Caenorhabditis elegans: one gene and its partners. The protein of the gene in region 4 interacts with the protein of the main gene of each other region in a pairwise test. Each region holds a gene or a part of one and is shown on either strand. Other genes may lie near its edges.

Region 1 (6,056 bases), on a different chromosome or scaffold from region 4:
CCATTTGCTCAAGGAGGCTTCCCATCGGATTCTGGCTTCGCACAATCGGCTCCCGCAAAACCTGCTCCACCTCGCCCAGCTCCTCCAAAATCTGCTCGCGAAACACCTGTCAATGATCCTTTTGCGTAAGTCTTAGTGAGTATCAATTTATTTAAAGTCTAAATAATTTCAGCCCATCACAAGGACAATCAACTCAACCGGCTGGATTCGCTGATTTTGCGGACTTTGGATCGGCTTTCAATTGATTTTTAATAATTATACCTTACCCACTATAAGCCCCAACGCCAGTCAAATTGTTTTACTTTGCCCAAATGTTTACCTGTGCCAAGTCATCGACATAATTTATTGATGCACATTTTTAAGATTAGTTTTTTTGCACTTTCCCACTTGAATTGTCACTTTTCTAGGTTATGAAATCAGAGCAATAATGTTATATACTGTAGAATATGAATATGCATGATTATTATGTAAATTATGAGTTATAATATATAGTAAATGATTTGCAGATTAATTTTATGTTGCGTATTTGATATTTTCAGTCTCATGTGTAAAAACGGAGCACAAGTAAACGGGTTGAAGGGGGGGAAGTAAACCGTAAAAGAAATTGATAAGGAAAAAGGAGAATCACAGAAGTTTGAAAATAATAGTGAAAAAGTTGTGTGAAGAAGACATAATTATGCTAGAAATCGAAAGAAAATACAGATTAGATGTACAAGAATGTTCGTGTCGGATTTACATACAGTGGCCAGTATCCTGAAAATAATAATCGCTATATTAGAATTTATTTATATATTACTGTTTACCTTCAATTGTGTCAAATAGAGTTGTCGTTTAGTTTCTATAGTCTTCTGAGGGAACGGATTCAGTTCGTTGAATGCCACTTGAGCTAGCGACTTGAAGTCAATGATATGTTCTTGAGCTTTGCTGAGACATTGATGAACTGTGCCTGAAAATTCTTGTTAAAAAACTAATAAATTTAAAGTTGTAAGTCACAAACCAATAGTTTTACATTGAAGAACGTGAGGTTCGCATATTTTGAAAAGTGCCAGTGCGAATCGAAAAAGAACCTTATTTCCTTCATAGAGGAATGCATCGAATATAGTCAGATAAATAGAATGCGGGAGTACATCTACAAAACACGTCAGGAACCAACTGAGCGCGAAAAGTGAAAGATCAACTTCAAGAGCTCTCAAATGTGCAGCCAATTTTGGAAGCTTTTCTGCTACAAGATCGCGGAGAACTTTCTGATCGGCAACCGCTCCGATCAGTGAGCTAGTGTAATATCCTTCAGGTTGGAGATGTTCCACACATGCTACAAGGAACCAGAACGAATCCTGCTCATCCAGGTTTAACAGAGCAATTGCAGCAAGACGATTGAGTCCTTGGCAGTAGCCGACGTGAGAGTTATGGTATCGGAAGGCGTAGAGTACGTTTCGTAGTTTTTCTATGTTAGCAGAATCTGGCTCGTCGAAAAGTTTATTCGTGGGCAGAGTTCGAGCGAGGTCAAGATCAATCTGAAAAAATAATATGAGAAACTCGAATTTAGAATAATATAAATATACCTGTTTGATGGCTGCATCGTAACTTCCATCCTGCTTCTTTGTTCCAGCCTTTCTGAGCATACTTTGATAGTATCCATTACCCAATTCTGCTTGCTTATCCTTCACCCAATGTGTCACAATTATCTTCCATACACGACCTCTGTAGGCAGGTGGTACTCCAGTTCGAATAAGAGTTTTTAGATCAGGTGAAGACATGATTGCAGTCTGCCGGGATACTGTATTGTTGACAAGGAACGCATCCCACGATTGTAACCATTTCATGTATTCTTCAGATTGTTCCAATTTCGTTGCTTCCACTACGTCTCCCGCTTTTTTCATGTAAAACGTGGCAGTATCCAAAAGATCATCGCTTTCAGAAAAATCATCCTTTTTATAGAATCCCAACTGATCCGTGAGGTTTTGCTGAGATTCTCGAGGTGTTCTTGCCGACTCTTCGAGTAATTCTTTCAACACACCAGGTTCCATTACTGTAGAGCAAAAGTGATTATATTATAACAGAAAATTGTTTAAAAACTCACTTTTTCCTGGTTTTGTCGGAGACTTAAAATGGTTTAGAACCATCAAATAACGGCTTTTTAATTGGTAATAGCAGGCTTCGAGGTCGAAATTTTGACGAATCAGCTTCTTCTCTCGATCTTCCAGAGATTGAGTGATAGCATGCAATTGGACTATTTCCGCATTCAAAAACTGATTCTGGGTACGGTATCCTTCTACGAGATCTTGAAGTTCTCCAATATCACGAACATTTTCTTCGTCTAGAACCCTAAAATAAAATACTTTAAAATTTAAATTGTAAAAATAAATTCGTACTTCCTGGTAGCTTCTTCACAATCAACTGATGATACATCGACAAGAATGCCTTCAGGAACCTCAACATCCGATACAAGTCCATTTGCGTCTGCAGGAATATTCGAGCTTCTTTCAGATATCGATCCTAGTAAGTCTTCTCGATTTTCTTCTTCACACATTCGAAGAATAAGCTCTTCTTTTGTTCGTAATGATTCTCGGAAAGCTTCTACTGATTGTTGCAAATCATTGATCGTATCCTCAAGCCTTACATTTTGATCTTCAAGATCACGAACTCGTCGAGCATTCATGCTATTCGAAATATGTAATTCGGTGACTTGTCGCTCCTTTTCCAGTATATACTCTCGCATTTCCTCCTTATTATCTCCCATATCCTCGATTTTCTGACTAAAATTTCAACAATTTATTATGATTTTAATTAAATAATAAAACTCACAGTGCTTCATTATTTCTTTGAGCTAGTAGAAGAGCAGCTCTCAGCGAATCGACAACTTCCTCCAGACTTGAAACTTTATCAGACAATTCAATAACTTTCTCTTCAGGAGTTAGATCAACAGAAGATACTGTACCTTTCTGAAAATTTTACTCATAGTGAATGTTTGATCACTATTTGAACATACTCTACTTCCAACAACTGGTTCATCGGACGTATTTTGCCGACTTCTGCTCCAAGTCGAAAGATTTCTTCGAATAGCTCGAAAAGGAGCTTCTATACTTTGATCAGCTAGTCGCTTTAATACAGTTTCTGGGCTTTCGATTGTCTGAAAGTATAATTTGAAAGTTTTCAAGTTGTATGTTCACTTACCTTTGGCATCTGTAGAGATCGTTCATTCAGCTGTCCATTTGGATTCAAATACCATTCCGTTGCAGATCCTTCAGCTGGTATTTTCGTGTTGTCTGTGTCTTCAACCACTTCGGCAGTTTCCTCAGATGAGTGAGGAACATCAGAAGATGTTTCAGCGTCTGTTTCTTCTTCAGTTAGGAATTGTGTTCGTTTCTTTGGTTTTGGACTTCTTGGTGGTGGTACTGGAGAAGGAGACGAGCATTCTTCGAGGACCGAAGACGAATTTCTTCCCGTTAAAGACGAAATATCTAGACTTGAATCAGATTTTGATTTCGTTGCCTTCCAGCTTCTTTTCCGTGTACTTTGAAGAGCTTTCATCCATTCATTGCGTTGCTTGTCTGAACTACATTCCAGCGCAATTACTTCATTGTTAGAGCTGAAATAAGTCGATTTTTAACGAATTAATTATATTAAACTCACTGAATTTCAAAACGGCCTTTTTCTCTTGGATCATAAGTGAATGCTGCGCCACTCAATGAGACTCTTCCGATACATTTTATGTCATCTGAATCTTTATACCAGTAAAGATATGGAGTTGAGTCACAGAGTGCGAACCAATAGCGACGGCGTGTTATCAGACCGATCGAACGAACTTCGATCTGGAAACAGTGGATATCATTTTTGTTGATTCCTAAGATTGGCATTTAATGTTTTTAAAAGTTCTTCGGGATCAAATTTAAAATAGTAATGTCATTTTAAAATTTTCTGGACATTTTAAAATAAATCTTTAAATTTTCTGGAAATTTTTCCGAAAATAATATATTTAGGCCAAACTACCGTACCCGATGCAAGTATCCACAGATTGCCGAAGTTTTTAGTTCGCGAGCTGGTGGGCTGATTGTCCCCGGCGCCGCAGACATCCGCGTTATCTGAAGTTCTGAAAGTAGGAATAGATATGAGAGATTTAGAAAGAATAACAAAAGTAGTATTTGTATCGTATGTTCAACGACTCATCGCACTGGACAAACTGGTTTTTTATTCGACCACCAGGCGAGGGAAGGTGGCGAACGGAGAGGGAGAGAACGTATCGAATTTTTATGAAACAAAATGAGAAAAAAAGAAGTGAAATGCAGGAAGAGGTATTGAGAAGTGAAGTGAAAATGAAATAGAGTAAGAGATCAATATGAAATGATTAAGAGATGACTAAAATTAGTCATCAAATAATTTATTGTTGCTGTTTAATATTCGTCCAGTAATCGGGATAATCGGCGAGTTGGCCGATGTTGATAGTTTCAGAGCATCCTTGCATTGCACACTTGATAACTCGCTTTTTGCCAGCAAACTCATGAATTGAATCCCTATCGTAGACGTGTCCACAGTTCTGGAATATTGATTTATTGATATAAAATAAAACTTTTGTTGCAATTTGGTGGTGATGAAATGTTTCGAAAGATAAATAAACGAACAAGGATGGTCAATCAAAAAATAATGAGTCATAAATTGCAGATGATATATTTGCACAACCCGAATGACAAGACGGGGATGAAATGTTGAAAAATAGAGAAAAAATGTTAAAAACTTACCTTACTGATAACTGGATTGACAATATCTTTCTTCGAAATTGGATCCTTTCTACTATGTTGAACTTGCATCACTTCCATTTCATTTTCATCGTTTTTACTTTCATCCCTTATAGATTTGATAATGTCTTTGAAGTACTGTCGCTCGCCTTTCACATTTTTATGGGTTTTTTTCGCCTTCTCGTATAACTCCTCCAATGCTTTTTCCTGCAAAATTATTATTAATATAATTTGTTTAAATATCTGCAACGTACATTCGGAACCTCGTCTGAACCATCTTTCAGGTCATTATGCAACGCTTCAAAAATGTGTTGCATTTGAGCACCTTCAGTCTCCAATTCCATCAACTTCATTGCATCTTTCATCAATGTTTCTTTGAATTCTTCAGAATCTACTTCATTTGAAATAGCATTTTTTGAATTGATATGAAGAACATCCTCAGCAGCCTTTCTCAGACTTTTTCGAATAATTTCCATACTAGTGGCGAGCTGGGTAGACATCTGGAAGGGATTTCACAACTTATTGAACTTCTAAATAACAAAAAAAGATAATTCAAAAATCGTTATATACGAATAACATTAGCCTACAAATGAACATTTAAAATTTAAAATTTTTTATTGAATTAACCCATATTTTCAGAAAGTGATTATGCATGAAAATTTTGAACATAAGGCGATAAAAACCAGGCAGTGAATAAGAAGTGATTAGGTACCCATATTCAATTTTCCTATTCGGACAGAAAGATGGAAAAATATGGAATCTTTGTCGTTTCCCCAAGCTTCGTGTAGAGAAAGCAGCTTTTGTAAAGTAATTCGAACACTTGTTTCACATCGATCCAAATAGTCAAGATCCAACGTGTTGGAGACTGATCTGAAAATAGTAATTTTTCATTTTAAAAAGCTCAATCAAAAAAGCTGCAGTCATGGCTGTAAATGTTTTTTTTTTTGGAAAAAAATACGAAAAATTATGCTTCACAAAACAATTTTGAGTAGAAAAAAATTAAAGTCGAAATTTTAAAAGAAAGTACAATTTTGGTCAACTTGTTTTAGATTTTCAAAATGAAGTTTCAAACTTAATAATTCTTAGTTTTGGTTTTTTGTTGCTTTTTTTGTGTTTTCGGTGGAAAAACTTTTTGATCTGATCTGAAAGTTGAAATTTAAATCCAATGGCATTGAAAGTGCCAAAATATTAATTTAAATGTTTGCATTTAATAATTGTATAACTTACCGTAACCGTATCTCATCTGTCATAGTCATAAACATATCCATATTTTCATGAACCAATCGTCTGATTCCAATGCGTACAACAAGATCTGAGAGCTTC
Region 2 (4,972 bases), on a different chromosome or scaffold from region 4:
AAAAAAAATTTTTTTTTAATGTTTTTTACCAAATTTAGAATGCTAAACGGCTAAAAGTTGGAAGTTTTTGAATATTTTAATAAGAAAAATTCAAAGGAAAATGGCTAATATTGAGATGTTTTTTTTTAATTTTTGAGTAAAAAACGGGAAAAAAATTATTTTTGATTTTTTTTTACCAAAACTATAACTACAGTGGAAAAAAGTTTTTTTGAAATTTTTAGTGAAAAATTATAATGCGAAACTGCTAAAAATTGAGAAATTTTGTAATTTTTGAGTCAAAAAACTTTTAAAAAAATTTATTTCGGGCTTTTTCGCAAAATTTAAAATTTCAAAACTCTCAAGTTTTTGAGTTTAAAAATTCAAAAACAAATTTTTTAACAAAGTTCTAATGCATTACAGTTTAAAATAAAATATTTTGAATTTTTAGTTAAAATTTTTTTAAAAATTTTATTTTAATGTTTTTTTTTGGCAAAAGTAAAATGTTAAACGGCTACAAAAAAATTTATAAATTCTTAAATTTTTGAGCAAAAAATCAAGAAATTGATCTTTCTAAAACTCTTACAGCTAAAAATAAAATATTTTGAATTTTTTTCAAATTTTTGGAAAAAAAAAGTTTCCGTTATTTTATGTGATAACTCTCACATTAGCCGAGGGAATTTCTAATTTTTTTAACCAACAATTTTCAAAATTCAAAACGAACCGCATCGAGAATCATATGGTCCTTGTGTGCATGTGCAATATTAATATTTGCCACGTAGTCGAGTGTGGTGTGTGCGAAGCAAGTGCCGACCTGGAAAAGAGCGGGTTTCTTGGTTTGAAAAAAAAAATGTTTTTATTTGTTTAAGGGTTTTTGAGTGGTTTTTCTTGCAATTGAGACGCTTTGTGAGAAACTATTTAAGGTGAAGCAAAAAAAAAAACGACAAAATTGAATGTTTTATATAACCAGAAATTTTGATTTTGTTAAGAACATTTTTAAATTTTTCGATTTATTGTTTAAAAAATAGACTTTTTTTTTCAGAAAATTCTTTTTTTTTCAGTAACATTATTAAATTTTTATCCAAAAATTAATCAATTATTTATTTTAACAATTTCTCGAAAAATAAAATAATCTTGAAAAAAATAAAAAAGAAGATAATATATTTGGAATTTTTTTTACTGTAAAATCGGCTTTTTTTGATAAATCAATATTTCTTTTTTCAAAAAATTGATTGTTCGCTTTAACGATTTTTATATTTCTCGAAAAATATAAATCTTTAAAAAATTACAAAAGAAATGTTTTTAAATTTCTTTTCAGTAAAAATGGGCATTTTTCAAGAAAGTCGATTTTGAATTAGGTTTTTTTCTCTGTTTTTTTTAGTTTTTCGAAAAATTAAATTTAAAAAAAAAATTTCAGTAAAGTTAACATTTTTTTGATGAATCAATAATTTTTGTTGCAAAAATTAATTTACGATTTTTATATTTCTCGAAGAAAAAATTTTAAAAATTTACAAAAAAAAATCACTAAGTAATTTTTTTGGCGAAAAAAAGATATCTGTTTTTTAATTTGTAAAAAAAAATTTCAGTACAATACCTATTTTTAGAAAGAAATTTTTTTCAAAAATTTGGATGAATTTTTTTTTGGTTTTTTATCGAGAATTTCGAATATTTTTCGTTGAAAATTCAAAAAACTCACCGCAGTAAGTGCATTTCGCCCTTCTGTCGCATCTGCAGGCTTTTGCCTTGAAATACTCGCATTTTTGACTAATGCATCATCCATTGATTGGGACATATTCTCAAAATGTGCACGGGATTCTGCCACTTTTGTGAGCTCACTTAAATTAGATTTTAGAGGAAACATTTTTGAATTTTTTTTATTTCGAAAAATCTAATTTTTAATTGAATTTTCAATTTTCTGTTGTGAATTATGCGATTTTTGGTTAAAAACACTTGAATTTTGGCTGGAAATTTATTATTTTTCGAAAAAAATTGCCTTATATTGTTTTATACGTAAAATTGATTTTTTTTTTAATTTGGCGGGAAATTCAACTTTTCAAAAAAGATTTTTTTTTTGAAAAATTACCAAAAAACCCGAGAAAAAATCGAGTTTTGCCTATTTTTTTGCAAATTTTTTTACAGGAATTTTAATTTATTTAATTAATTAATTAATTAATTTTTTCCAATATAGAAATTTTTTTGAAGTTTTCTGGCTCAAAAATTTTTTTAAAATTTTTAGCTCAATCCAAATACCTTTAGTTCAAAAAAAATTAAAATTTTCGATTGTTCAAATTTGTCAATTTTCTGTACCTCTAGAATGAATAATCTAGTAAATCAGCGGGAAATTTGAATTTTTCACCTCTAAATTTAAAGTAAAACGAAATTTTGATTTAAATTCGCTTAAACTCGTTATTTTGTAATTTTCGGCCTTTTTAACTCAGAATTTATCGATTTTTATGATTTTTCGCCAAAAAAAACTCCGGAAATCTCACATTTTAATGAAATTCGACAGTTTCGTGAAAGTGACCACATTTGAATGGTCGAAATACGTGCGAAATAGGTTAACAGTGTGTGCATAGGCTTCTGATAATCCTTGGAATGTTGTAGACGCCAATGGATTGCCGGAGAAGCTTTCATCGCATAATTGATTCACCGAAACCGTTAATTTGCTGGAAAAAACGGGGATTTTTTGAGAAAATTTGAATTTTTGGTTTTGAAACGATTATTTTTCGCTATGTGCCTTTAAAATACAGTAATCTGAAAGCTTAATCGTTTCGAGACCCCAAAAATGAATTTTTTTCACGTACTAAAACGTGTTCGTATAATTTTTGCTGAAATCAATCATTGCAGTGATGTGTCGGAGCATTTCGTTGAGCCGATTCTCTAATCGATTAAAATACATTGCATGTTGAGCGACTGTTGCGCGGAATTTTGGAGAATCCTGCAAAAATTTTAGGTTTTTGGTGTATTTTGAGGGAATTTCTACCTGAATTGCCTCGGAGCAGTCGATTTTTGGCGGAACAGACGGCATCGCCATTCCATTGTTTGATACTGTCATAAAATCTGGAAATTTATCGATTTTATACGAAGAAATTGAGTTTTTTCGGCTGAAAATTGAGAAAAAATAATCAAAAATAATTAATTGATAATATTGCGTCGTCAATTTCAATGCCAAGTATGCAAACACCACAGGTGCACAGAACAAGATCTACCGTACTCTTCAATTAATTAATTGAAGAGTACGGTAGATCTGGTACTGTGCAGCTGTGGTGTTTGCGTACTTGGCATTGAAATTGACAGCACATGTTTATCAATTAATTAATTTGGTTTTTAAAAACGCAATTTTAATAGAAAAAATGTCGAAAAAATGGTAAAAAAACATTTTTCTCTTGAAAATTTTCATTTTTAATAGCTAAAAATAGAAAAATAAACTGAAAACAGTCTTGATTTTAAAAAAATTGCTTAAATTTTTCACTTGAAAAAAATTCAAAAAAGTCTGAAAAGTCCGATTTTTAGAAGAAAAACTAATTTTATCACCATTTTTCTGTACAAAAATTATCGAAACTTATGGAAAATAACAAAATTTTCCCAATGTTAAAATAAAAGTTTTAAGTTTAAATTTTAAAATTAATTTTATTTCCAAAATTTCGCAAAAAAAATCCTATAAAAACGACCAACAATTTTTGGGTAAAAAAACTTTTTTTTTGATAAGTGGCTGTAAATATGCCACGTGGCTTTTGAAATTAAAAAAAAAAACATTTTCAAATGTTTTTTTCAACAACTTAAACTTCCGTATGCGCCTTTAAAGAAAACCAAAAGTCCATATCACTCGCACAATAAAGGAAAAAGAGAAAAATTCCAAGACACGTAACAAAAGCCTCAGAACAGAAAAAAAAAACAGAAAAACAGCCGGTTCTTCTTCTCTCTTGCCGCTACGGCTGCCGCTGATGATGATGGTGATGAACAGGAAAACGAGGGAGAGAAATAGAGAAGAGACGCAGGCAGTTAGACGGCGGGAGAAGAACATCGCGACAACTTTTCGGACGGAGGTCATTGTGTTTGTGGGGGGAAGAAGAAAAGGACGAAATTTTTGGAGAAAAAGGACAGTCGTATATAAACATTCACTGCTTGTTTCTCTAGGAACTCTCTTGATTTTCAATACTCTTTTTTTGTGGAGAGAGCTTGAGAATGAAATTGGGTGAGAGGAGGAGAAGGGGAGGCACCGAGAGCGCAACTAATTTAATATTCTCTTACTTTGCTTTTCTAGGCAGACGAGAAAGAGTTACGGGGAAATTGGAATTTTGCAATGCAACAACATTACACATATGTACACGTGGTACCAGAGTCTTATTTCGGTTTGATCTACGCAGATCTACAAAAAATGCGGGAGTTGAAACGCAGACTTCTCAACTGACTTCGCAAGGTTAAGAGCGTGCTGACGTCACATTTTTTGCGGGAAAAGTTCCCGCAATTTTGTAGATCAAACCGTGTTGGGACAGCCTGGCACCACGTGATTATCCAACAAAAAATACTTTTTTCATCAAAATTTAGTGATAAAATAAAAAAATTTTTTTATCTGAAAATATGTTTTATTTGACTTGGAAACATTGCAAAAAAGCTCAAAAATTAATCGGCAAATCAGCAAACCGGCACATTACCGGAATTGAATTTTCCGGCGAATCGGCAAATCGGCAAATTGCCGGAATTGAAATTTCTGGATAATCGACAAATTTCCGGAATTGAAATTTCTGGATAATCGACAAGCTTGTCGGAATTGAAAGTTTTCGACAAATTGGCAAATTGCCAGAATTGAAACTTCCTGCAAATCGGCAAAATGACAAACAGCCGGAATTGAAATTTCCGGCAAATCGGCAAACCAGGCAACTTGCCGGAATTGCAGTTTTCGGCAAATGGGCAAAATGACAAACAGCCGGAATTGAGATTTTAGGCAATTCAGCAAACCAGCAAATTGCCAGAATTGAAATTTCCGGCAAATCGG
Region 3 (7,485 bases), on a different chromosome or scaffold from region 4:
ACCGTAGCGCTAGTGTCGATTTACGGAAACATTTTATTAATCGATTAAATATTAAAAGAAACACAAAAATGACAAAACAATACGAAAAACTGAATATCACTGTCGCAATTCGAACATAAGTGAAAATCGATCCCGTAAATCGACACCAGCACTACAGTAGTCATTTAAAAAGTTACTGTAGTTTTCGGTCAGATATTTTGCGCGTCAAATATGTTGCGCAATACGCCTTCTCAGGATTTAGTGTTCTCGTAATATGAGAGTACAATATTAAGTTTATTCTTCTCATCTATTTTTCTTCAAATTAATGCATACGAGTATTTTTTCCTGCAAAATGCGATTCATTTTTTAACCATATCACTCAATTTCTCAAATTTATTTGTTTTTTCTTTCAGTACATTCCCTCACAATTCGAGCTTGCTTTTTCCTATCCCACTTGTTTGATCTCTACGCTAAATATTTCCACGTGTAAAGTATTTTTCACCAGTCTTCCACACACTTTCCTCTTTTTTCGAATGAATTTTTGCTGAACATCATTTAAAACTCTGAATTGATTTATTGAAAGCTGAAAGCATTTGGATTTGTGTGCACCGAGAGAAAAGAAAACTGAATACAAAAATATACACATAGAGATGAAAAGATAGAGAAAAATTTGATGTTTTGATTAACTCCTAAAAATTTGCCAAAAAAACGGGAAAGAGTGAATTATGGAAAGGAGAAAAAATGATAGAAGATAACAAAGGGACACTGGGAGAAACTTTGTTTTCAGAAAGAGAAGAAGACCCGTAGTTTTAAATTGAGTAATAAATAACGTTGAAGCGTATTAACGGCGCCACCATTGAATAAGTCGCTTCGATGCTGAAACAGGCTGATCTATTCCACGAACAAAGCGAGTAGCCCTATCCAAAGTAAGGTTCTTCAAACGATCCGAATCTTCTTCGCTGAAAATTTCGAATGTTGTTTCATTAGTTTCACTGAAAGTAGTTTATTACGTGGTGTCAGAATGTCCCATTCGGTTTGATCTACGTAGATCTACAAAAAATTCGGAAGTTGAGACGAAGAGTTCTCAACTGATTTCGCATGGTTAAGAACGTGCTGACGGCACTTTCTTAGGCGAAAAATTCCAGCATTTTTTGTAGATCAAACCGTGATGGGACAGCCTGACACCACGTGGTTCAACAAAGCAATAAACACTTACATTTCGTCCTCAGTTGCAAATAACTTTTGAACCAAGTTACTTTTTGTTTTCATAGCATCACTATATTGTTCAATCAGTTTATCCGTTGCCGTCTTATTCTCATCAGAACGAGGGAAATCATCAGGAACTTCATTGATTTGTTTTCCCAATTGGTCAATTTCCGAAGTAACCTGACGAATTGTCTCAATGATATTATAGTATTCCTGTCGATGTACAAGAGTGTTCCGTTCATTTGTCAACTCAAGATATGATGCAGTCAACATTTCTTCTTCTGAACTTCCAACTTCTGTTTCACGGATCTTGTCTTGAATAACCTGAAAACAAAACAAACTGAATTAATCCTTTAATTCTCAGAATCTTACATCGGCTTGTGCTGTAATATCCGATATACGTTCGTCAATACGAACAAGCTCATTGGCGGTTCCTTCAACGTCATCGACGTCTTTTTCCCATTGGGAAGAGAACTTTTTGGTTGGTGTCGCCAGAGCGTCTTGCGAAGATGATTCGAAATCGTTTCCCTAAAAATAATAACATTTAGACGGTAACTTTCAATTTGCACCCATGATTAAATTTTATGTTGATTAAAATAGAAGCAAAAATCATTACATTACACTTTTTACAACATCACAAACCATGTATCCGTATTGTTTCGCCATCAACTGCAACGATTCTTTCAATTCTGCACTACGCATACTCCCATATCTCTTGACACGATCAAATGTAGAAGCTGATGAAGGAGTTGATGAATCGTTCTGAAATGTGAGCAAAACACTTGTTAGGCATACTGTACAATGCGGTGTATGATAAAAAAGAAAATATAGAACAGAGAAGAACTAAAGATAATATCGACGAAAGAAAAATTATGGTTAGATAGAAATGAGGATTGCTAGTGGTATTGACAGCTAATTGACAACATTCATATTTAAAGCTTAAAATAATACTCAAATGTTTAAAATTGAAAATCAGACAACTTATTACACTGACAAAATAGTTTGCGACAAAATATACGGTAGCTGGTCTTGACGCAAGGTTTCAAGCTCTCGTATTTGTCGATATTTCATCGATTCTTCATAGTTTTTTTTTAAATTTATGTGTGTTTTATTGTTTTATTTTAGTTTTTTATAAAAAAAAAAGTTTTATCGAAAAACTATGAAAAATCTATGAAAATACCTCACCAACGAGGATTTGAAGTAACTGTATCTTTAAAGGTACACATATTTTTCCTGAATCGGTGTTGCCAATAATGCTCTATTCGGGATTAAACTGTTAACTCGGCATTTCGCGTCTTCTTTCTCCCACCTTTTTGCCGGAAGGCGAAAAGGTGGGAGAAAGTAGGCACGAAATGCCGAGAATTTAAATATATTAATGACTGACCCGATTTCCATTTGTTCTGCCACGACCAATTGCTGGCACATGAGGAGTATCATTGGGATCGTCTGTAATTAAAACAAAATTAAGATGAAATTGTTCCTAATAATGCAATTGACATGTTAAAAATCACTGCACTATGAGGAAATAATAAAATGTACATTGTTTGCGGACGAGCGTCGGAGATGGATCACGTTTCTTGAACTTGTGTACATCGAGTTCTGAAAATAAATTCACTACATGCTTTGTCACAACACTAAAACAATTAAATCGGAGCATGATCTGAAAATGTTACAAACCAATACGACGAAGATCGGTATTTGATCCATCGATACGACGGAAAGTGGGATATGGTGATGATGAAGTAGAGGGGATTGCTGAAATGGGAACACACGGTAGAAATAATTAAAACAATCACAACAAAGGAGATTACTATAGAGAATCACGACAACTTTTGTGTTTTTAAAAACTTCTCACCCGTTGGATGCTGCTTTTCGTTCAGCATCCGTCTGACCTCTTCGCGTCTTCTCTCTTCATCACTCGCTTTCCGTGAATTTGGTGTTGCTGCAGGAGTTGTTGATTTTTCAATTAAATCACGTGCTCTTTGGCGTAGTTCATCTCGCTTTGAAGGTGATGCACGATTCTGAAAGTTGTAAAGATTTTCAAAAATAAGAATCTCGTAAAATTGGATATCTATTAGGAAAAAGAATTGATTAGACTATTTCGCTGGGAACAAATGTAATTGAGTTTTATAAGGGCGAGTATTTAATAAGTTTTTTAAGTTGTGTCGCAATTTTTATCAAGCTGTTATATGGTAGTAGGAAATGTTCAGTTATGTATAACCTTATAAATTGCATTAAAAAAATAAAATAAGAAAATATACCAAGAAATCTGACGATTGAAAGAACCTGTTTTTTTCCTATAATTTCAGTTATATTATACACACAAAGTATCTTAAAAATGGTAGAATTGAAGTGAAAAAAGATTTCAATAACTATTTTAAATAATTAGCATTATTCAATTCGAAATTCAACAAAAAAACAAAAACTAAATATTTAAAATTTTAAAATTTTTTTTTTCAATAAAAACTCACCGATGCACGAATTGCTCCAACTCCTGGAGTCACCATGGTTATGCTTACATTACTTCTCTCAAAGCGCATATTTGAAGTTTCAGCATCATCGTCATCAGCGTCAGTTGGTTGATTGAGAGCCGGATTGCGACTAGCCAACTGTGGTGTAACAGGAACTTCATCAGGAATGTGTCTATAATCCACAGCTTCTTCGAGATCTTTTTGATTTCGAATTTCTGTAATCATGGCAACAACTTTTTCTTCGGATTCATTAATTCCAAATGTTCTGGATATTCTGTGATCAGAAGCACTGGCTGGTGTAGATCCCTCGTCAAATCCTTCAAAGATTCGGCGAAGATGTTGAAGAAGAAATTCTATTTGTTTCCGATCAGGAGTCAGAAACATATCAACTGTTGGTACTTCTGTTATTCCTATCAAAGTAAGTGAATCGAGGGCTCTTTGAATATTCGAAATGCGTCCAGACATATTATTAGAGATATCCAGTGTTTCGTAATCTCCAATGAGATCCGGGCGATAAGAATGAAGAACTGCACACAAGGCCAATCCGTTGTTCCAAGATTTCATAAAATCATTAACTTTTACATGCGAATATCCGTTAGTAACTCTCTGACACCATGAAAGTAAAGTCTCTCCATCGATCGGTTGAGGGACAGCATCTCTAGATGGAGCTCTCGGAGAATTTGATCTTCTGAAATTGAAAAAAAATTATGATTGTGAGAAAAGTAACCAAACAATACCCTCTACTCATTGTTCCACTTTGAAGATAATATGGTGTAGCGATTGCTGTAACTGGAACATGCCGAGAATTGGAATCCACACGGAATTCTATTGTTGTAGACGCTTTTTCTTCTGTCGAAGCACGGCTTGACCGACTATGTCTGTTGGTTGCAATTGGCGCTGGAGCTGCTGGTTGTGACGTTTTTTCTTCTTCAGCTGATACTCTCCATTGGGGACGAACTGAAATACATTCTATAAGAGCCACGGGTGTCGGTTTTTCGATTTTTCGTTTTCCGAAAAATTGAAAAAAAAAATTTCGAGTATTTATTTTGGTTTTTTTAATCCTTTTTCTTCATCAACATAAACAAATTTTGATATATCATTTTCTGGATAATTTTCGAATTTTTTTTTCGATTTTCGATGTTCCTTGAAAAAAAAATGAAAAAAATCTACAAATTTTTTGATGACCACACACGAATTTAGGCTATATGACTTTTTTCCATGAAAATATTCTAGCCAAAAATTCTAACGATTAGGTTTAAAAAACGATTTCTAATTACCTTTTGCAGGGTTTTCATTCTCTCCGGAAGGTTTTCGGTGTGCTGGAACAATAGGCGGAGCGATTTCCTTTTCCTCTTTGATCCATTCCATCATTTTTGTAGCTGTCGTGTCGATTTGTTGTCTTGCAGCTTAAAAAAACAAATTATGTGAAATAAACTGTATTTTTTCAATCAAAATACCTGCTGCTCTGGAATCATTTGCACTCGCATCAACTTCATCTGTTACTGGAACTTTTTCAACAAAAGAGGCTGCAGCTGACGAAGTAATACTAACATCATCTGCATTTACTTCCGAAATAAGAGAACTTCCAAGAAGAATAATCAGGGAACACAATTTCAAATGAGGCGTCAATGGACGGAGCTTGAGCTTCAGTTCACTTTTATGATCGGGTAGATCCAGAATAAATAAGCGAACATTGAGTGGCACTGCTGCAATTGCTTTTCTTTTTCCTTTAGCAGTTACTTCTTCAACAACAATCGTCCATTCTTTATCTTCATATTCATCACTTGCAATACGATATAATGTTGTAAGAATATCTATATTCTCTGAAAATTGCTCAGGCCACATAATCAAACATTTGTTAGCGTCCGAACATTCTTCCCATTTTCGTTCCTTTGATGATACTTTTCGTCGTCTGTAAAAATTGTATGATAAAGGTTTCATGAACAATTTTTTATTTATTTTCGATTCGTATTATTTTCTTGTGAATATTTTTCTTTTTTTTTCAAATTTCCATAATGATCATGATGCATTGTGTCTATTTTCTGATTGACATTTATTATTCTTTGATAAGAAAATGTATTCACCTATGAACGAAAGAAACTGCAAGGTTTTCTGGTTTCCATTGTTCGTCGGTGTAGAGATGTAATTCCTAAAATAATAAACAATTGAGATAAAAGTATCAAGAACGAACCTGAAGAGTAACTGTAAATCTAAATTTGGCAGCTTTCTTATTGGATCTCCGAAGTCGACGAAGAATACCCGCCATCTGCAATTTATATGTTAAAACAATGGTAATCAGGTGCGTAATGCGAAGAATTTCTTTTCGATTTGTCGTACGGAAATGGATATTTGAGGAGATGAGAAGAAAGGAAAGGCGGCGGAAACCGAGAGGAATGGGCGCAGCCGTCTTCCTCCTCCTCATTCGACAACGGCGGCGAGAAGATTTGATAAAATGAGCGAGAGGCGATAGACTAGAAGGAAAAGAGAGTGACAGAGGTAAAAAGAAAAGAGCATTTGGAGCTCCAAAGAGAAGGTCTGAAATATGTTATTTTATCCAGTGATTCACAAGAATTTGTATTATTTTAAAGAAAATGAACAATAGAAATTTAGTAAAACTGAAAGGGAGAGGAGAGAATAACAAAAACAATCTGACAGTAGAGCATCGTGTAATGTTACTAGATCGAGTTGGATTGGTCACTTGAGACCGCCGATACAAAGATTTATGGCCACTTCTTGCCATCTCTCACGCTCTCGGTAGGTTTTCGATTTAGCATTTAGTTACAAGTGCTACTTTTCGAGTGTTCGTCGTTATGTATCAGTCAGCTGCCAGCGCCCGTTACACTAACTCTGCTCAGCGCGCCGTCGAAGTTCAAGTGTTCTCCCATAAACAAAAAATGGCAGTCAGAATAAATAAGTTAATTTTTATTCTGAAAACACCATTAAGTAACGTTTTCAGAAAACATGAGGAGCTATCGAAAATGCGATATTTAATAAACGTGAGGAACATAAATGGTTTGATCGAGAACTATATGCATAACCACAGTGATTGTTTGACAAAAATTAATTTAATACGATGAAACTGCATGAAGAAAACAACAAAGTAGATATTTATTGCAACAATATATTGAAAAACCGTTTTCAAAAATTGGTCTAAAAAACACGGCCCGAGAAGTGGTATTTTTTTATGATGCATATAAAAAATTGGAGAGGTCTACACTCCAATTATCAGTAGAGCGCATTTGCATGGATGTACCACTTGCCGGGCCGTGAAAAACGTTTACGTCTTTTTGCGTCTGCATTCACAGTCACGCAAAAACGCAGACACGTTACTGTAAATAGAATATTGTGTAATTCGACGTGGCCGTGTTTGCACATTGTTATTCTGTTTGAAAACATTTTTTTTCCGAAATAATTTTTGCAGAGGGGTTTTTCTTTTATTTCTTTTATTTCCTTGGTAATTCCCTCCATAAATGCGTTTGTATTCTCACAAATTAAAAAATTAAATTATATTTTTAAAAAAGTTAAAAGCCGATTTCGATATTGATTATTTCTTAAGCAGGTAAAGAATTACTCACGATATTGTTAATTTTATTGTGAACAAACTACTTTTTCACCTTTGTTAAACTTTTACAAATGTCTCAATTAATTATAAATAATTTTTATACGAATTCAAACTCTTTAAAACCTTAGAAAGCTGAATAATCGAGCAGAAACTGCGGCAGCAATGCCCGCAATTAACTCGACAACAATGGCCTAGTTGTCGGGTGTTGCCTGTTTCTCGTCCTCTTCCATTTCTACGTTTTCCACGTTCTATGTTTGTCCTGCCTCC
Region 4 (3,284 bases):
TGAGAATGCGTATTGCGCAACATATTTGACGCGCAAAATATCTCGTAGCGAAAACTACAGTAATTCTTTAAATGACTACTGTAGGTCGATTTACGGGCTCTATTTTCGAAACAAATTTTTGTTCGAATTGTGACAACGATATTCAATTTTCTTTAGTTTTTTTAAACGAAAAATTGGAGGAAAATCGAATATTGTTGTCACAATTTAAAAAAAAATCGTATCGAAAGACCAGCCCGTAAATCGACACTTCAGAAGGCATTTAAATAATTACTGTAGTTTTCGCTACGAGATATTTTGCGCGCCAGATATGCTGTGCAATACGCATTCTCAGAACTTAGCGTCTCCGTAATACTTGCAACGTTTTTCGTGTTTAACTATTCAAAATTGTGGTACTTTCTACTATTCAATGTCGCTGGTATATGAATCTGACTCTGCAAAATAGAAGCTCAGTAAAAAACTTCTAGAAAAAATTAATTTTAATTTGCATGACCGACAAAACCCCAATATTCGATCAAAATTCAGAAAATTCAAAAAACTTGGGAAAACATGCAATTTGGTTCATACATTCGCGAAAAAAATAAATCTGAAATCCTGAAAAGAAATCTCATCAGAATGCTGGGTGTAGGGGGGTGAATTGAATATGCGAGAGAGAGCGGACACAGAGAAATAGACGGGACGAAAATGGTAAAAACAAAGCAAGTGTTGGTTATTATGGTCAGAAGAGAAGAGAGAAGAAAAAAGGTTATTTTTAGAATTATAACCGTACTGCATACAAAAATGTGCGAAGGAGGAGTTTTTGGAACAGAAAATTCAAACGGAAAGAAAATATGAAAAGAGATATGGTACACTATTGAAGTTGAATTGAATTGAATCACAATCAACTTCGAAAAGGGCAGAACATGGCGAGAGAGCAATAAATTTAAAGCAAATTGCAGCTCCAGTTGCTGAAGAAGCTCTTCTTCTGTGTCCCCGATCCACCGACGTTCACACGACCCGTATTCGAAACTGATCCACCGGCACGCATCTCGTTCTGCTCCATCTTGCTCTTGATATCACGAGCCAGTGTGAAGAAAGCTTCATCAATATTCAGATTGGCCTTCGCCGACGTTTCCAGGAATTTCGTGCCGTACTCGATTGCGAGCTGCTCTCCACGGTCCCGCGACACTTCACGGCGTTCTTCAATATCACATTTGTTGCCGATGATCATCCTCTCGACATCCGAAGCCGCATGCTCTTCTATATTGCGAATCCAGTTTTTGATGTTTTCAAATGATCGCTCGTTGGTGATATCGTACACCAGAATGATTCCCTGAAAGATAAATTAATTAAAATTTGAAATTTTGTGAAATAAATTTTGATAAAACATGCCATAGCACCGCGGTAATAAGCCGTTGTGATAGTTCTGAATCTCTCCTGCCCGGCTGTGTCCCTGAAAAAAAATATTTATAAAATCGGATTTAATAAAAACTAGCTCACCAAATTTGAAGTTTGATTTTCTTCCCATCGAGCTCAATCGTACGGATTTTGAAGTCGATTCCAATTGTTGAAATGAACGAGTTATTGAACGAATCATCTGAGAACCGGAACAGTACGCACGTCTTGCCGACTCCACTGTCTCCAATAAGCAAGAGCTGTAAAACGATGTTTTCTTGACATCTTGGCATGCAAAAGTTCTCACCTTAAACAAGTAGTCGTAAGTTTTTGCCATTTTATTGGAGTGAGTGAGAGAAAAGCTCTGAAAATAGGAAAACTATAGAAAAGTAACGCGAAATCGAAGAAAAACAATTAAAATAAAGTGAGATTAAAGGTGCATTGAGTTTTTGACACTGATGGGTCCCGGAGCGAAAAGTACAAAAGCCTTTCATTTTTTTAAATTGTTTAAAAACTGTAATTTTATTTGTTTTGTTTTACTGTTTTTTAAATTTTCTTTTCAATTTTAATCGAAAGTTAAAAGTAAATGAGACTTTTAAATTGAATTTTCCAAGTTTCATGACCGCAAAAAATGAAAAAAAAAAAGAAATGAACAGATGTCACGCTGTGTGTGTGTGCTCAGTTGGTTTGAGGATAGCTGGTCAATATTGAAGGGTCATGTGAAGACGTATGTAATTAGTAATTCCCACACAATGTCCGCAAAGAAAGCGACAAATGAGTGTTGAGGAATAAAATTTGGAGGAAATTTCGCAATAAAAAGATTTGTTTTCACTGAGGGAATGAATCGATTAGACAGCTCACAAAGACATCGTGGTCACGGGCCTTTTTCAAAAATAAACTATTGGGAGGGGGCGAGGTGGTGGTATCGGTGCAGCAGGAAAACAAAACGCGCAGCGGCCACGGCCATGACGATGTAAAAACGTAAAAACGGAGCGTCGTTTGTATCCTCTTGTTTTGCAATTTGAAAAACTTTTTTTTAAACAAAAAATCACCTTTTTTCAGGTCAAAAAGTTCCAAGAATGGTCGATGGCGAGGGAATTACCCCGAAAACTTGCAGTGAAGACATCATTAAAGATCTTTTAAATGATGTGAAATCGTCGGAAAAAGTAAATTAATTTAAATTGTACTGGAAAATTTACAAATCGAATTATATAATTATAATTAATTATCATTATTTTCAGCCATTCTCAGTGGATAAACTAGCCGGATGCGATCAGACAGATTTTGTTGGGAAAAGGCCGAAGAAGCATCACAGGCACAAGTCGAAGAAAAGCAAGAAAGTTCGAAGAAGATCCAAAACTTGGTCTAGTTCAAGAAGTCGAAGCCGGAGCCGGAGCAGAAGCCGGGGGCGTAGTCAGGAGAGGAGAAGAAGCAGAAAGAGTAGGAAAAGCAGAAGCAGGAGCCGTTTAAAGCATAGGGAAGAAAAAATTGAGAAGAAAAATCTCGAAAAAGCGCCAAAAAATGAGTAAGTTCGAAAATAAATTCGAAATAAGTATTTAAACTAATAAAAATTACTACAGATTAATCCCGCAAGCGCCAAGTACCGAAAATGGCAAACCGAAAGAATTTAAGGAGCCGCCAAGGAAAGATGAGGCCGATGATCTACCGCTTGGCGCGGATTTCAGCACCCCTTTAGTGAAAAAAGAGACAAAGCTGGCTATTAGCATCACTACAGTTCTGCCAAAAGCCGAGAATAAGAAAGAAGTTGAGGATGGAGAAATAGAAGAAATTGCATATGGAGATGGAGATTTTAAAGAACCAGAAGGAATCGAAAAGAATTTGGAGAATAAAAATATATGTGAAAATGGAAATCTGGATAATTCTGAAAATGAAAAAAGTAAGGAGAAAGACAA

What was found.
Region 1: the proteins of rab-8 (region 4) and tbc-2 interact in a two-hybrid assay, tested with the Caenorhabditis elegans proteins (one study listed by BioGRID).
Region 2: the proteins of rab-8 (region 4) and cnt-1 interact in a two-hybrid assay, tested with the Caenorhabditis elegans proteins (one study listed by BioGRID).
Region 3: the proteins of rab-8 (region 4) and ehbp-1 interact in a two-hybrid assay, tested with the Caenorhabditis elegans proteins (one study listed by BioGRID).

The regions. Positions count from the first base shown.
Region 1 is NC_003280.10:5,823,354-5,829,409, forward strand, and holds tbc-2 (PH domain-containing protein), read right to left. Parts: upstream 4,091-6,056; 5' UTR 4,074-4,090; coding exon 3,996-4,073; intron 3,813-3,995; coding exon 3,634-3,812; intron 3,590-3,633; coding exon 3,175-3,589; intron 3,131-3,174; coding exon 2,990-3,130; intron 2,943-2,989; coding exon 2,806-2,942; intron 2,757-2,805; coding exon 2,373-2,756; intron 2,326-2,372; coding exon 2,081-2,325; intron 2,030-2,080; coding exon 1,563-2,029; intron 1,515-1,562; coding exon 998-1,514; intron 947-997; coding exon 804-946; intron 754-803; coding exon 733-753; 3' UTR 503-732; downstream 1-502. Other genes in the region: ehs-1 (Eps15 (endocytosis protein) Homologous Sequence), read left to right, coding at 1-125, 173-245; ZK1248.11 (E3 SUMO-protein ligase NSE2), read right to left, coding at 4,379-4,534, 4,737-4,940, 4,988-5,233; gtap-1 (Dynein heavy chain 7, axonemal), read right to left, coding at 5,438-5,603, 5,961-6,056.
Region 2 is NC_003280.10:12,085,831-12,090,802, forward strand, and holds the start of cnt-1 (Truncated cnt-1), read right to left. Parts: upstream 3,039-4,972; 5' UTR 3,032-3,038; coding exon 2,960-3,031; intron 2,915-2,959; coding exon 2,781-2,914; intron 2,643-2,780; coding exon 2,466-2,642; intron 1,812-2,465; coding exon 1,673-1,811; intron 791-1,672; coding exon 701-790; intron 1-700. UniProt on the Caenorhabditis elegans protein: GTPase-activating protein for the ADP ribosylation factor family. Regulates endosome recycling downstream of rab-10 and upstream of arf-6.
Region 3 is NC_003283.11:9,549,081-9,556,565, reverse strand, and holds ehbp-1 (EH domain-binding protein 1), read right to left. Parts: upstream 5,923-7,485; coding exon 5,848-5,922; intron 5,806-5,847; coding exon 5,741-5,805; intron 5,569-5,740; coding exon 5,114-5,568; intron 5,063-5,113; coding exon 4,934-5,062; intron 4,614-4,933; coding exon 4,394-4,613; intron 4,345-4,393; coding exon 3,657-4,344; intron 3,207-3,656; coding exon 3,041-3,206; intron 2,941-3,040; coding exon 2,863-2,940; intron 2,785-2,862; coding exon 2,725-2,784; intron 2,632-2,724; coding exon 2,570-2,631; intron 1,948-2,569; coding exon 1,828-1,947; intron 1,714-1,827; coding exon 1,558-1,713; intron 1,510-1,557; coding exon 1,196-1,509; intron 939-1,195; coding exon 821-938; 3' UTR 534-820; downstream 1-533. Other genes in the region: nstp-10 (GDP-fucose transporter), read left to right, coding at 6,730-6,756.
Region 4 is NC_003279.8:3,682,352-3,685,635, forward strand, and holds rab-8 (Ras-related protein Rab-8A), read right to left. Parts: upstream 1,736-3,284; 5' UTR 1,709-1,735; coding exon 1,679-1,708; intron 1,632-1,678; coding exon 1,477-1,631; intron 1,430-1,476; coding exon 1,369-1,429; intron 1,310-1,368; coding exon 920-1,309; 3' UTR 539-919; downstream 1-538. Other genes in the region: D1037.1 (Protein SON), read left to right, coding at 2,451-2,537, 2,613-2,896, 2,952-3,284.